2 linked regions of the Caenorhabditis elegans genome follow. Each later gene encodes a partner of the first gene's protein in a complex. Each region holds a gene or a part of one and is shown in the gene's direction. Other genes may lie near its edges.

Region 1 (5,143 bases):
AATTTTAGTCTCCGTTTTCCCAACATCCTCGTTTTTACACTTGTCCAGGTAATTTTCTCTAATTTCTGGGAAAATTCCGCAGAAAAAACGGAAATCTAGAAAAATTCGAGATTTCCCAGCAGTTTATTTTGATTTTCTTCAATTTTTCACTCAATTTCACAAAGAACTATTCGAAATCGAAAAAAAAATCGATTTTATTCAGAAATTTATTAAAAAATTTTAAAAAAATACCGTACCCTTCAAGCAACGTGTACTCCTCTCGGAAAATTCGAATTAATTATTAATTTTTATTGATTTTCAACCAATTTCGCTACCAAAAAGGGTGTGTTCCCTCTAATTTAGGATAGTCTTTGCCATTTGTCTCCTTCCGTTTTCTCTTTTATCTGACTGGGGTCACATTCACAGTGAAAGGAGAATTAGAAAAAAGAAAAAAAGATGAAAACACGCTGTGTCTCTATCTCTCCGCCAATTCTCACGGTTTTCCCGGTGAGTTACAACGAAGAAAATGAACACTTCGATAAAAAATATATATTGACGCCCCGGGTTACCGATTACCGATGCCCACAAAAATCACTTCTTATCAATTTTTAAATGGTTTTTTTCAGGACAATCTGATTTTTATTTTTTCTCACTCAACCTCCACTCTCTTCAAGTTCCATGCTCTCTTTTAACCTCTTCTACAGCTATTATTGTCGGCCACCTGCGCACACACACAGGGCCTTCTCACACACCATTTAGCATGGGCGGCCCCTTGATGAGCGATGAAAGCGAGAGACGCAGAGAAATTGGTGTAGCGGGGGGCCATGGTGCACTACCGACAGCGCGCGCATACACCACCACCAACCGCCTCTTGTCTTCTTCCCCCCTTCTTCTCACGTCCCCCGGTCCGTCATTTATTTGAATTTTATGGATCCTTTTCGCCTCGTTTTCCTCGTTCCACTATCCTCCCTCCTACCTCCTGCTGGGTTCTACGTTTATTTGCATTTTATAATTGGAGGAACTTCTTCATTCGAACATTTTTCGCTTTTTTTTCCCGTCATTCTTTTTGAATTTTGTAGAGCGAGTAGCGGCCTAGTTTTCGGCTAGGCCATCTGTTGCCAATGACAGATGTGTTTTGTTCACCGTATCGATTCCTGCTCTTTAATTTAAAATTCCCGCGTTTCGGATTTATAAGCAAAAAAGTAATTTTCTACGTCAAAAATAGGTAATTTTAAGGTATTTAAAGTCTGATCGTGGTGTCACCCATGCCAAAAAACATGGCATGCGCCTTTAAAGACTACGGTATATTTACAAAAATGTCGAAAAATGCGAATTTTAAACAAATTTAAAGATTTTTGATGATTTTCTCCTTTTTGTTCGGAATTCCCTTGTTTAAAATTTATGATTTTATTTTTAAAAACTCAAATTACAAATTAATAAGCCGAAAAATATTGTTATTCGCGGTGGTACCCACATTGAAATACATGGCACGCGCCTTTAAAGGTTACGGTAGACAAAAATACTTGAAAATTTAATTTTGAACAAATTTCGAAGTTTTCGATCAATTTCTAGATATTTCACATCGAAATTTCCTCGTTTCAAATTATTTTTTCAACGAAACAGCTCAAATTCGACATTTTTAAGCAAAGAAAAGTAATTTTGTTCGAAATTCGTGTCGAGACCCACACCAAAATAAGCGGCATGCGCCTTTAAAAGTTACGGTGGACAAAAGTATTTTTTAAATTAAAATTAAAACAAATTTCACCGTTTTTGCTGATTTTTCTTGAGTTTTTCATCTAAAATTTCGATTTTGTCGTCAAAATTTATCTCTAATTCAATAAAAATTCAACATTTTCCAATTTTAGAAGTCTAAACCTCCACTTTCTCCCCAAAATCCTATCGAATTCAAATTTCCCGCGTCTTTCCCCTCTCCATGGCCTAACTTCCGCGGACCTAGTCCCCCTTTTTTCTTGTTTTAAATGGTTCCGTGCTTCTTTTCCCTCCATTTTTCCGTCAATTTCCCATTAAAATCGTTAAAAAATGCTCTAAATTTCCAGATATAAAAATACACAAAAATGATGGCCGACGAAGAGCTCGGCGATGAGGTGAAGGTGTTCCGTCGGGATGAGGATGCTGACGATGATCCAATGATTAGTGGTGAAACGTCAGAACAACAGTTAGCCGATGATAAAAAAGAAGCTGTAATGGAAGCAGAATTAGACGGTGCCGGTCGAAATCCATCGATTGATGGTGAGTTTTCCAATAAATTTGATCGAAAGGGGAAGGTGGCCAGCTATCACACAAAATTTTATGGACCACCTCAATTGCCTTTCGACTTTATTACACAAAAAAAATATTTGAAAATTCTTCTAAATTTCTAAATTTCTGCAGGAAAAAGGGACATTAAATATTAAAAAAATACATATAAATTTAAATTTAAATAATTTAAATAAAAACTTTAAATGCTAAGACTGATCCCAAAAAAAGAGAAAAAAATCATTAAATTTGAAAAAAAAACCTTATTTAAATTCCCGCATTTTTTGTCTAAACTCCGCCCATAGAACCGTGCCGCACTTTGTTTTTTTTTCAAATTCAGCGTAAATCCATATTTTGGGGGTTTTTTTTCAGTTTTTAAATGGAGAAAAAGGTTTTAAAAATCGCCGAAAAATTCATTAAAAGCTAGAAAAACAACCCAAAAATTGGACTTTACGTTGAAATTAAAAAGTGCAAAAGTGCGGCACGGTTTTATGGGCGGAGTTCAAAATCGAGACAAAAGCGCGGGAATTTAAATTAATTAAAAATCGCTAAAATATTTTTTTTTGACAAATTTGAGTATTTTCAGTGTTATTTTGAATTTCAACCAATTTTAAAGCGATTTTTCGCCATTTTTTATATTTTAAAGTATTTCTAACACTTTATAAATGAAATTTACTCATTTTTAACCAATTTTTTTTCCGGTTTTCACTATTTTCTATTAAAAAAATCCATGCTAATTTCAAAACACCCCTAAGAATTGACCTGATGGTCCCGGGCCTTACGCAATGACATAATGACGTAAAAGGATGTTACGCAACGGTGTTCGAACACCATCTGCGTCTCTCCGAATCCCATACTATCTCGGTCCGTTATCTTGTGTGCTAATCCGTCGTGAGTACTTGAACAAGTTGGTCCGTCTGTGTGTGCTCAATAGACTGTATAGGGGTGCGAAAGGATTAAGAATTGGATAATATTCAAAATTGATCTGAGAAATTTGAACTTGGCGCCAAAAATTGACCTTTTTTGAGATCTGTGAATGGAAAAATCTAAAAAATTATGTATTTCAGGCCTTTAGAGGTGCTAGAAATTCCTTTTAAAATTTTACGAAAAATCGCTTTAAAATCGAATTTTCAATTGAAAAATCTAAAAAATGAGAGGTTTTGAACTCGGATATCACTATAAAAGTTGAATTTTAAAATATTTTTAACTGAAAATTGTGAAAATTTGCGAAAAATCGCTTTCAAAAATCGAAATTTTGAAGGAAAAATGAGATAATTAACCCTATAAAATTGAGTTTTGAAGAATTTTAACTAAAAATTGTGAAAATTACCGAAAAATCTCTTTAAAATCGGAGTTTTCATGAAAAAATCTGGAAAAATGAAATCTTTAACCCTATAAAATTGGATTTTAAAGAATTTTGACTAAAAATTGTGAAATTTGCCAAAAAATCGGTTGAAAATCAAAAATTTGGCTCTTTTTTAACCATTCTAACCGAATAATTATCAAATTTTCAGTGTTAAAAAGTGCATTTCCAAAAGTCGAACCAATGTCACCATCGTTTCCCGGTTTAATGTCACACTTCAGTCCTGGATACTCGGCAGCTGCTTTACCCATGTTTATGCCTCTATTTATGGTGATTTTTTACTTGGAAAATTGAAAAAATTTGAATTAAAACACATAAAAATTGGCGAAAATCGACAAAAATCGACTTAAAATTGTATTTTAGAGTTAACAAGTTAAATACTTCTGAACGAAAAATTACCGAAATTGGCAAAAAATCGGCTTTAATTGGAAGTTTTCACTGAAAAATCTGAAAACAAAGGTGAATATTAGGCCTCGAATATGTTATAAATACCTTATAAAGTTGAAATTTCAAGATTTCCCCCAAAAATCGACGAAAAATCGCTTTAAAATCCTTTTTATGACAATTCCCCCTATTTTATTAGAAAAATTATGTAGTCTAGGCATTAGAAATACTTTTAAAAGTTGCAATTTCAATATTTTGCCCAGAAATTGCCTAAGAAATGGGAAAAATTATGTATTTTGAATTTTTAAAGGGTTCGAGAGCCTCTATATTTTTGGAATTTAAGAATTTACACCAAAAATTATTTAAAAAAAGCGAAAAAACACCCTAAAATCGAAAGCTTTATTGAAAAATATGGAAAATTGTGTATTTTTGAGCTTATTCTTCAATTTGAATCAAAAATCGTCGAAATTTGCAAAAAATTGCTTTAAAATCCTATTAAAAATCATTTTTCCAACAATTTCTTCCCCAAAAAAGCAGAAATTCCAAAAAAAAAAAATTCAAATTTTTACCCAATTTCAAGAATTTTTAGGGCTTTTCTCCATTTTTGTAGAAAAAAAACCGTATTAATTTTTTATTCTTCCTACAATTTTCTTCCCCAAAAAGCAGAAATAATACAAAATTTCCACTAAAAAACTGAATTTATTGTCTTCCAAATCCAAAAATTCTTGGCTTTCCGCCATGGGGTTCTGGCCTTCCTCATTGAATTTTTCGCGCTCCATTGACAATCGCCCGCCGGACTGGGATAGTCGTGTACTCCACACGGACAAGTGCATTTAGTTTTACAACTAAAATCGAGCCGCGACGCGACACGCAACGCGCCGTAAATCTACTGAGCCAAAATGACCTAGTTCGGCAAAAACTCTTCCATTTCATTTTATGAGGGAAGCCAAAAATTCGTGAGAAATTCTACAAAATTTTCACCGAAAAACTGAATCTATTATCTTCTGAATCCAAAAACTCGTTGCATTTCCTCGAAAACAGTTTTTTCTTCTTTTTTGTTGGAGAAGCCTCATTAACTCCCAAAAAATTGCGTGTTTTTTGGCAATTTGTTTTTCTCGAAAAACTATTGGCGAAAAAACACCAAAAATTTCTTTTGAATTG
Region 2 (7,123 bases), 7.2 Mb from region 1:
TGATAATCTGCTAAGTATGTGAGCTTGCATTTAATAAAATTTTGTTTTCAACTTAGAATTCGTTTTAATTTTAATTTTCAGTGACGTCTGTAATCCTATAAACTAAGTCCCTCCTCCTACTTCTCCACAATCCAGGTGCACTATTTGATAACCCACTTGTAATTCTAGTACTACCTTATGGTCCCTTATGTCACATTGTTTGACAAAGTATATTTGTATAGGTTTCATGTGTATTGCTTGTTTTTTTGTACGGTTTTCTCAGAGAAATTATATTATTTTTTAACTCATAGTAATTAATTTTAGGCGAGATACCGAAAATTCGCAATGTCATCAGTTGCATCTATTTTTGCACCTGTTTTTCGAAATTTTTGAATCGTAGTGATATTTAGTAGAGCCAACTAATAAAACTCGTAGAACGACGTTGCCAGCTGTCCAATGACATTCGGTGTCCATTTCGTTGAAAACATTCAGTTTTCTTTCGAATTGATGATTGAAATCTTGTTTACACATTATTATTATTATTATACAACTCTGTTGACAATTCAACTTACACCCAATTACCATCTCAACTACTGAATAATTACACTTAAACCTATTCAATCACGGAGATACCATCTTCTAGAAGACTTCAGTTGGTGACAACCGTGGGAGGATAAGGTGCAATCCACGTGTCATGCTGCGAAACAATTAGTCTCTAATTAAGAAACTGTGCCCTTTTATTCCATGTTTTTTGTTCTAAATTAAATACAGTAGTTTGTTTCTTGCAAAAATCTACTAGTTTAAAGAGAGGAGGCGCGTTAATGCGCAAGGGTCTCGCCACGCGAAACCCATTTTGTGTATGCACCTTTAAGTTTACGGTAATTTCGTGTTCGCAGTTTCTTTTTTTCCGTGTTTCTTCTTGCACATTTCCATATTTAGCTAACAGAAGTTTTCGTATTTCAACAAAAATTTTAGAAATCTCATTTTGAAAATGAAACATGTCTTAAGCATTAACGATCACCAATAAAACATCAAGTTGTATGGGTTTCCAGGGAATTTTTCAATTTTTTCATTATTTCGAACAAAAAAATTGCATATTCGTTGATTGATATGTTCCTTATTCATTATGCCTATTAAATCAAATTATTCCAATCGAGAATTTGAATTCGTTTTTGAATATTTCTTTAAACATCTTTCCAGGCATGATGTATTACATAATAAAATAGAAAGTAGGTTGTTATTTAGGTTGGTAGGATAGTAGGCCACCACCAGCTCATCTCCTTCACCCATTTTTCACCCCGTACATCACCATTCTCTGCGTCTCATTCAATCACACACAACATCACTTACCAATCTGCGTCTCGTTATTCTTCCTACTATTTATTTGTCTGACCCTCGACAAGTGTCCCATACAGTCTGTCTACGGTTGCCTTCGTTCTCTCTCTCTTCTACATTCATCCGCATGCGTACACCCTCTCTGGTTAGACAGTGAGAGAGCACGTGTATAGTGCTCAAAAAGAGGAGAGTGCAGGCCGTGCGACGGTTGGAAAATGGTGGGTAACGAAAGAATTCAAATGTTGAGACGATTCTGCAGGAAAACGGCCCATTTTTTGATGTTTTCTCTTCCGTTTTCCCGCCTACTTTTAGTTTTTTATTCTTATTTTCCTATTTTTCATAATCCGCAATCATCATATCACCTTTAAAATATAAAAATCACATTTTGAATTATCGATTTTTCAGGCAGACTGTCATCTGGAAAACTGAGTGCACCGGACCTGAATGCATTCAACCGGAGAGCCTCAACGAGGGCCCGCCGGCCCATATCATCATCCGATGCCATATCATGTTGATCAGGTAAGCTTGAAAAACTTCAAAGAAGCGTTTTGCTTCAAAATATCCAAAATTGTCTTAAATTCAGAAAAATCACAAAAAAACAACGAAAAAAAGCGAAAAAGAATGAAAAGACAAGCTTCTAAAATTGCAATTTTCATCTTTTGCCATTTTGGGGGAAATTCAAACAGAGAATTCTGCCAAAATTGAAAATCGCGCTTTTAAAAGTTGAATTTTTCATCCTTTCTGCGATTTTTTTTTCAGTTTTCTTTGTAGTTTTTCGGAAATGAAGACTTAATTCTTATTTTCAGATTCCAACAACATCTCATCCTTCATGGCATCAAGCTCCCCATCCTGGCCTTCCAACACCTCCATATCATCCTCAACAACATCCTAACTATATCTCAATGCAACCTCCTCCTTCCCAACAGCAACAGATGACTCCTCAAGCATTGTCGACGCAACAACAGCAGCAGGTTCAACAACAACAGCAGAGGTGAGTACTATAAGAAAGATTATTATCTAAAGAGACACACCTCATATTGATTGGTGGCTGCGCCCCCCGTCCGTCCGTGGTGTGACAGGCGATATTAGAAAGTTGGGAGACGACGGAAGTGGGAGAGTAAAAACGAGGCTAACGAGCGTTTTCTTGATGGGTGGTGGTTGTACAAGAAAAATGACTGTTTTTTTTTTCGATTTCAATGCCAAATTTCTTTTCCGAGTGCTATTGACATTCGATTTTTAGATTAATTTTAAATGTTATCTGGTAAAAAGTAGATTTTTTGCCTAAATATCACGATAGTAGGTCTTGAAGCGATCAATTAAAAAAAAAGGTGCGCGCCTCTAAGGAGTACTGTAGTTTCCAAATCTTCGTAATTGAAGGATTTCTTTCAAAACTTCTTACACTCAAAATAATAAAACTGCGTGGCGTGTACTGCAGAAAACCTAATATTTAGGCCCCGCCTTTTAATCGTCCACTCACGGGGAAAAGACAAAAATAGGGGAGGGGGGGACAGCTCGCCACGCCAACAGTGAGAAAAATAGTGTGGTGCGCGGACCTCGAATGATGTCGGCGGCTGATATTGCCTGGGGTACCGCTTTTTGCGTTTTCCCCGTGAGTGGACGATTAAAAGGCGGGGCCTAAATATTAGGTTTTCTGCAGTACACGCCACGCAGTTTTATTATTTTGAGTGTAGGTTCTCATCTGTTTCTTTAAATTTGCACCTTTGAGGATTACTGTATTTTCGAACTTCCTTCGCTGCGGAATTTCATAGATTTTTCACACTTTTTTAATAAAATATATAATTATTCACTAAAAACCTAAAATAAAACAATAAAAACATATACATTCGTGAAAAAACCATGAAAAATCGATGGTAAATCTGCGTCAACGAACGTTTAAAATTACTGTACTCCTTAAAGGCGCACGCCTTTTTGCAACAAAAAATAACAACATTTTGCAGATTGGTTTTATAATTAATTTAATAAAATATGATATACCTAAAAACTTTCTATGTTTTATTTCAGGCAACTATACTCGTCACCGTCACCTTCACGAGGTCCAGCGGCTCCCGCACAGAATCAAAAATTTCGGACAGAACAATGGATCAACAATCAAGCATGGCCATATTCTCAATCTCCTGCTCCACCAGTTGCTCCATCAGTTATGTCATATCATCAAGGAGACGATCGAATGTCAATGCTCAGTGTGAATACAACCATGACAAATCAATTTCCCGATTCTCAGCGATGCTACTCATCAAATGGTTCAACATGTGAAAATGTGAATCCTGAAATGATGCAAATGAATATAACACAAGCGGCTGAACAAGCAATTAGGGTTTGTAATTGAAAAATCAATAATGAATCTTGATAAAGTTCAATTTCAGCTATGGTTTAATACACCAGATCCCATGCAAAGACTTCATATGGCAAAAACAATACGAACTTGGATACGACAAGATAAATTTGCACAAGTTGATCAGGCAAATATGCCGGTGAGTTTTCCAAAAATGTTGGAATTCTTTTTACAAAATCTGTAATTTTTTTCAGAACTGCGTACAACAAATCCTTAACATAATTTACGATGGTCTGAAACCTCAACCAGTTCAACTTCCAATTTCATATTATGTAAGTCTCAACACAAATTACAGATTTCAAATCATATTTTTTCAGGCTCAACTCTGGTATAATCTGTTGGATATTCTTCGAAGATTCACATTTCTACCCATTATTTCACCATATATTCATCAAGTTGTTCAAATGTTTTGTCCTCGAGAGAATGGTCCACAAGATTTTCGAGAATTGATTTGCAATTTGATTTCGTTAAATTGGCAAAAAGATCCTCACATGAAACACTGCGCAAATCAGGTGTTTCAAATTTTCAACTGTATCATAATGGGAGTGAAAAACGAGAAATTGAGAACAGAATTCGCTCAACATTTGAAATTCGAAAAACTCGTTGGCACTCTCTCCGAGTACTTTAATCCTCAAGTACACCCGGGAATGATAAATCCAGCAATTTTCATCATTTTTCGATTTATTATTAGCAAGGATACTCGATTGAAAGATTACTTCATATGGAACAATAATCCACATGATCAACCTCCTCCGCCAACAGGATTAATTATAAAATTGAATGCTGTAATGATCGGATCGTATCGATTGATTGCAGGCCAAAATCCTGAAACATTACCTCAAAATCCAGAATTGTAAGTTTAAAAATGAAAAATTCCTCCATCACTAACAAGTTATATTAATTTTCCAGAGCTCATCTTATCCAAGTTATAATCCGAACATTTGATCTTCTGGGTCTTCTCCTTCATGATTCCGATGCAATTGATGGATTCGTACGGTCTGATGGAGTTGGAGCAATTACTACTGTAGTACAGTATCCAAACAATGATTTGATAAGAGCTGGATGTAAGCTCTTACTTCAGGTCTCTGATGCAAAAGCCTTGGCGAAGACTCCATTGGAGAATATATTACCATTCGTAAGTTTTACGTTTAGAAAATCACTGGACTATTAGAAAATTATTTATGTGTTCTTTTACTTTAAAAAATTATACTAGATGCCCCAAACCTATCTAATTCCATAGTGATACTTCACTTTTGTAAGAAGTTTCATTATTAAATTCGGTCGTTTCAGGCTAGTTTTAGTCTATTCAAATTAAAAAAAAACTTCTCTCCCTTCAAATAAACTGTTTAAAACCGGAAATTTTCAGTTACTGAGACTCATCGAAATTCATCCGGATGATGAAGTTATCTATAGTGGAACAGGATTTCTGAGTAACGTAGTGGCTCATAAACAACACGTAAAAGATATTGCTATACGATCCAATGCAATTTTCCTACTTCACACGATAATCTCAAAGTATCCACGACTAGATGAACTTACCGATGCTCCGAAAAGAAATCGAGTTTGTGAAATTATTTGCAATTGTCTGCGTACATTGAACAATTTCCTGATGATGTGGATTCCAACGCCCAATGGAGAAACGAAAACGGCTGGACCGAATGAAAAGCAGCAGGTCTGCAAATTCATCGAAATTGTACGTTTTGGAATTTGAAAAACGATATAAAAATGAATTAAATTATTTCAGGATATTCTGAAAAAACTGATGAGTTGTTTATCATGTGAAGGAATGGATACACCTGGTTTATTGGAACTTCGAAGTACAATTCTCCGATCTTTTATACTGTTACTCCGAACACCATTTGTTCCAAAAGACGGTGTTCTGAATGTTATTGATGAAAATCGGAAGGAAAATTTAATAGGACACATTTGTGCCGCCTATTCATGGGTTTTTCGTCAACCGAACAATACAAGAACTCAATCCACAAAGCAGCAACTTGTTGAACGTACCATAAGTTTATTGCTTGTGCTCATGGAGCAATGTGGAGCTGAAAAAGAGGTGGCACAGTACTCGTATTCAATTGATTGCCCATTAAATCTGCTGAACGGAAATCAAGTGAAACCAACGTTTATTCACAATGTGCTTGTTGTATGTGACAAGATTTTGGAGCACTGCCCGACGCGTGCGGATATTTGGACGATTGACAGGCCGATGTTGGAAGGACTGACGAATCATAGAAATTCAGATATAGGTATGTGTCTCGAAAATGTGTTCATAAATTAAATTACAATGCATTTTTTCAGCTAAAGCCGCGAATTCTCTGCTGAGTCGCTTCCCTGAAAACGACCTTCTTGCTGGTATTTTTTCAAATCGAGAATATTTCTGATTTAATGGATAAATCTGTCAACTCCATCTTTCATCCCAAAAATCCCCGTTCAAAGCCATTAATTCGTCTAGTTGGAAGCTGTTTTAGCGTGTACATAGTCGTATTATTGATTAAAATATGTTCTCTCTTCTTTTCTTCATTTTCTACCGGTCCCAAATTTCCTCATTCTTGACGATTTCATATGAATTCGAGTTTAGAACAAACAAAACGTTCCGATTTTCCTAATTTATAGCACATTTCTTCTCATTTTGCCCTCGGTTTATCTCTTTCTTTTTGTTGTTTCTTTGTTTACGTCTGTAGCATAATATTTTTGAATACAAAACATTTTCGCGATTATCTTTGCATTTTAACTATCAAATTCCTGTCTTATATACGTCTTTCTTCGATGTTCTTACGTTGAATAGAAAATAAAATTATAAAACTTTTTAAATGTTGGATTGATTTACTGAATACTCGGTTCATATATAAGTTATTTAGAGACTATTCTCGTTCTGTAAAATTAACCTGAAATTGTGGAATTGTGATTAAATAATAAATTATTATTTAAATCTCCGCGCAAATGCCCACTGGCGCAAGTGGCGAGTGCTGACGCATCTCCCGTGCACGCGAAACGCGCCAGTAAGGTCTTGCAACGATTTTCTTATGTTCCACTTCCACTTAAATTTATTTCAGCTAAATATTGACCCATTAGCTGTTTTTTGAATTGTTTTCAAAGGGAAAATCGTTTTATTCATTTTAAATTTTAAATAATATTGGAATTTCTGTCTAATTGTGTATCTACTGCTTGTTTGCTTCTTGTTTTGGGATTTCATAATGTCAATTTTGTTTCAGCAATGTCTCGCTTCTTCCATGCTAAGGAGGACTCTGATTCCGACACTTCGTCCAGCGAGGATGAGGTAGAGGATCAAAAAGTGAACAAAAGCGCGAAATTTCGGTAATTATAATCTCCAAAGTAATTCCAAAAGATTGATTAATCTTTCAGCGATGATCTCGATTTCATGGCCGGTCCTGAAGAAGATGAGAAGCGTGTTGTTCGTGCCCAAAAGGACAAAAAATTCGATGAGCTGAAAGG

What was found.
Region 2: the proteins of pop-1 (region 1) and sys-1 are in contact, whole or in part, in a crystal structure (PDB 3C2G), measured with the Caenorhabditis elegans proteins. Residues at the interface, in NP_491053.4 of Caenorhabditis elegans: Gly8 (codon at 2,076), Asp9 (codon at 2,079), Glu10 (codon at 2,082), Val11 (codon at 2,085), Lys12 (codon at 2,088), Val13 (codon at 2,091), Phe14 (codon at 2,094), Arg15 (codon at 2,097); in NP_492639.1 of Caenorhabditis elegans: Leu450 (codon at 4,629), His451 (codon at 4,632), Ser453 (codon at 4,638), Ile456 (codon at 4,647), Leu488 (codon at 4,743), Gln489 (codon at 4,746), Ser491 (codon at 4,752), Asp492 (codon at 4,755), Tyr522 (codon at 5,076), Gly526 (codon at 5,088), Ser529 (codon at 5,097), Asn530 (codon at 5,100), Val532 (codon at 5,106), Ala533 (codon at 5,109), His534 (codon at 5,112), Lys539 (codon at 5,127), Asn579 (codon at 5,247), Arg582 (codon at 5,256), Asn586 (codon at 5,268), Glu638 (codon at 5,475), Arg645 (codon at 5,496).

The regions. Positions count from the first base shown.
Region 1 is NC_003279.8:2,827,205-2,832,347, reverse strand, and holds the start of pop-1 (Protein pop-1), read left to right. Parts: upstream 1-2,036; 5' UTR 2,037-2,054; coding exon 2,055-2,229; intron 2,230-3,749; coding exon 3,750-3,868; intron 3,869-5,143. UniProt on the Caenorhabditis elegans protein: Transcription factor. Part of the Wnt signaling asymmetry pathway. Binds to the consensus sequence, 5'-(C/T)TTTG(A/T)(A/T)(G/C)-3'.
Region 2 is NC_003279.8:9,979,422-9,986,544, reverse strand, and holds sys-1 (Beta-catenin homolog sys-1), read left to right. Parts: upstream 1-1,750; 5' UTR 1,751-1,758; coding exon 1,759-1,833; intron 1,834-2,120; coding exon 2,121-2,305; intron 2,306-3,336; coding exon 3,337-3,649; intron 3,650-3,687; coding exon of another isoform or gene 3,688-3,698; coding exon 3,699-3,806; intron 3,807-3,861; coding exon 3,862-3,939; intron 3,940-3,984; coding exon 3,985-4,520; intron 4,521-4,576; coding exon 4,577-4,802; intron 4,803-5,033; coding exon 5,034-5,360; intron 5,361-5,411; coding exon 5,412-5,916; intron 5,917-5,968; coding exon 5,969-6,051; 3' UTR 6,052-6,482; downstream 6,483-7,123. Other genes in the region: eif-3.C (Eukaryotic translation initiation factor 3 subunit C), read left to right, coding at 6,885-6,985, 7,034-7,123. UniProt on the Caenorhabditis elegans protein: Transcription coregulator. Part of the Wnt signaling asymmetry pathway, probably acting downstream of putative frizzled ligand mom-2, Wnt/frizzled receptors lin-17 and mom-5, and dishevelled homolog dsh-2.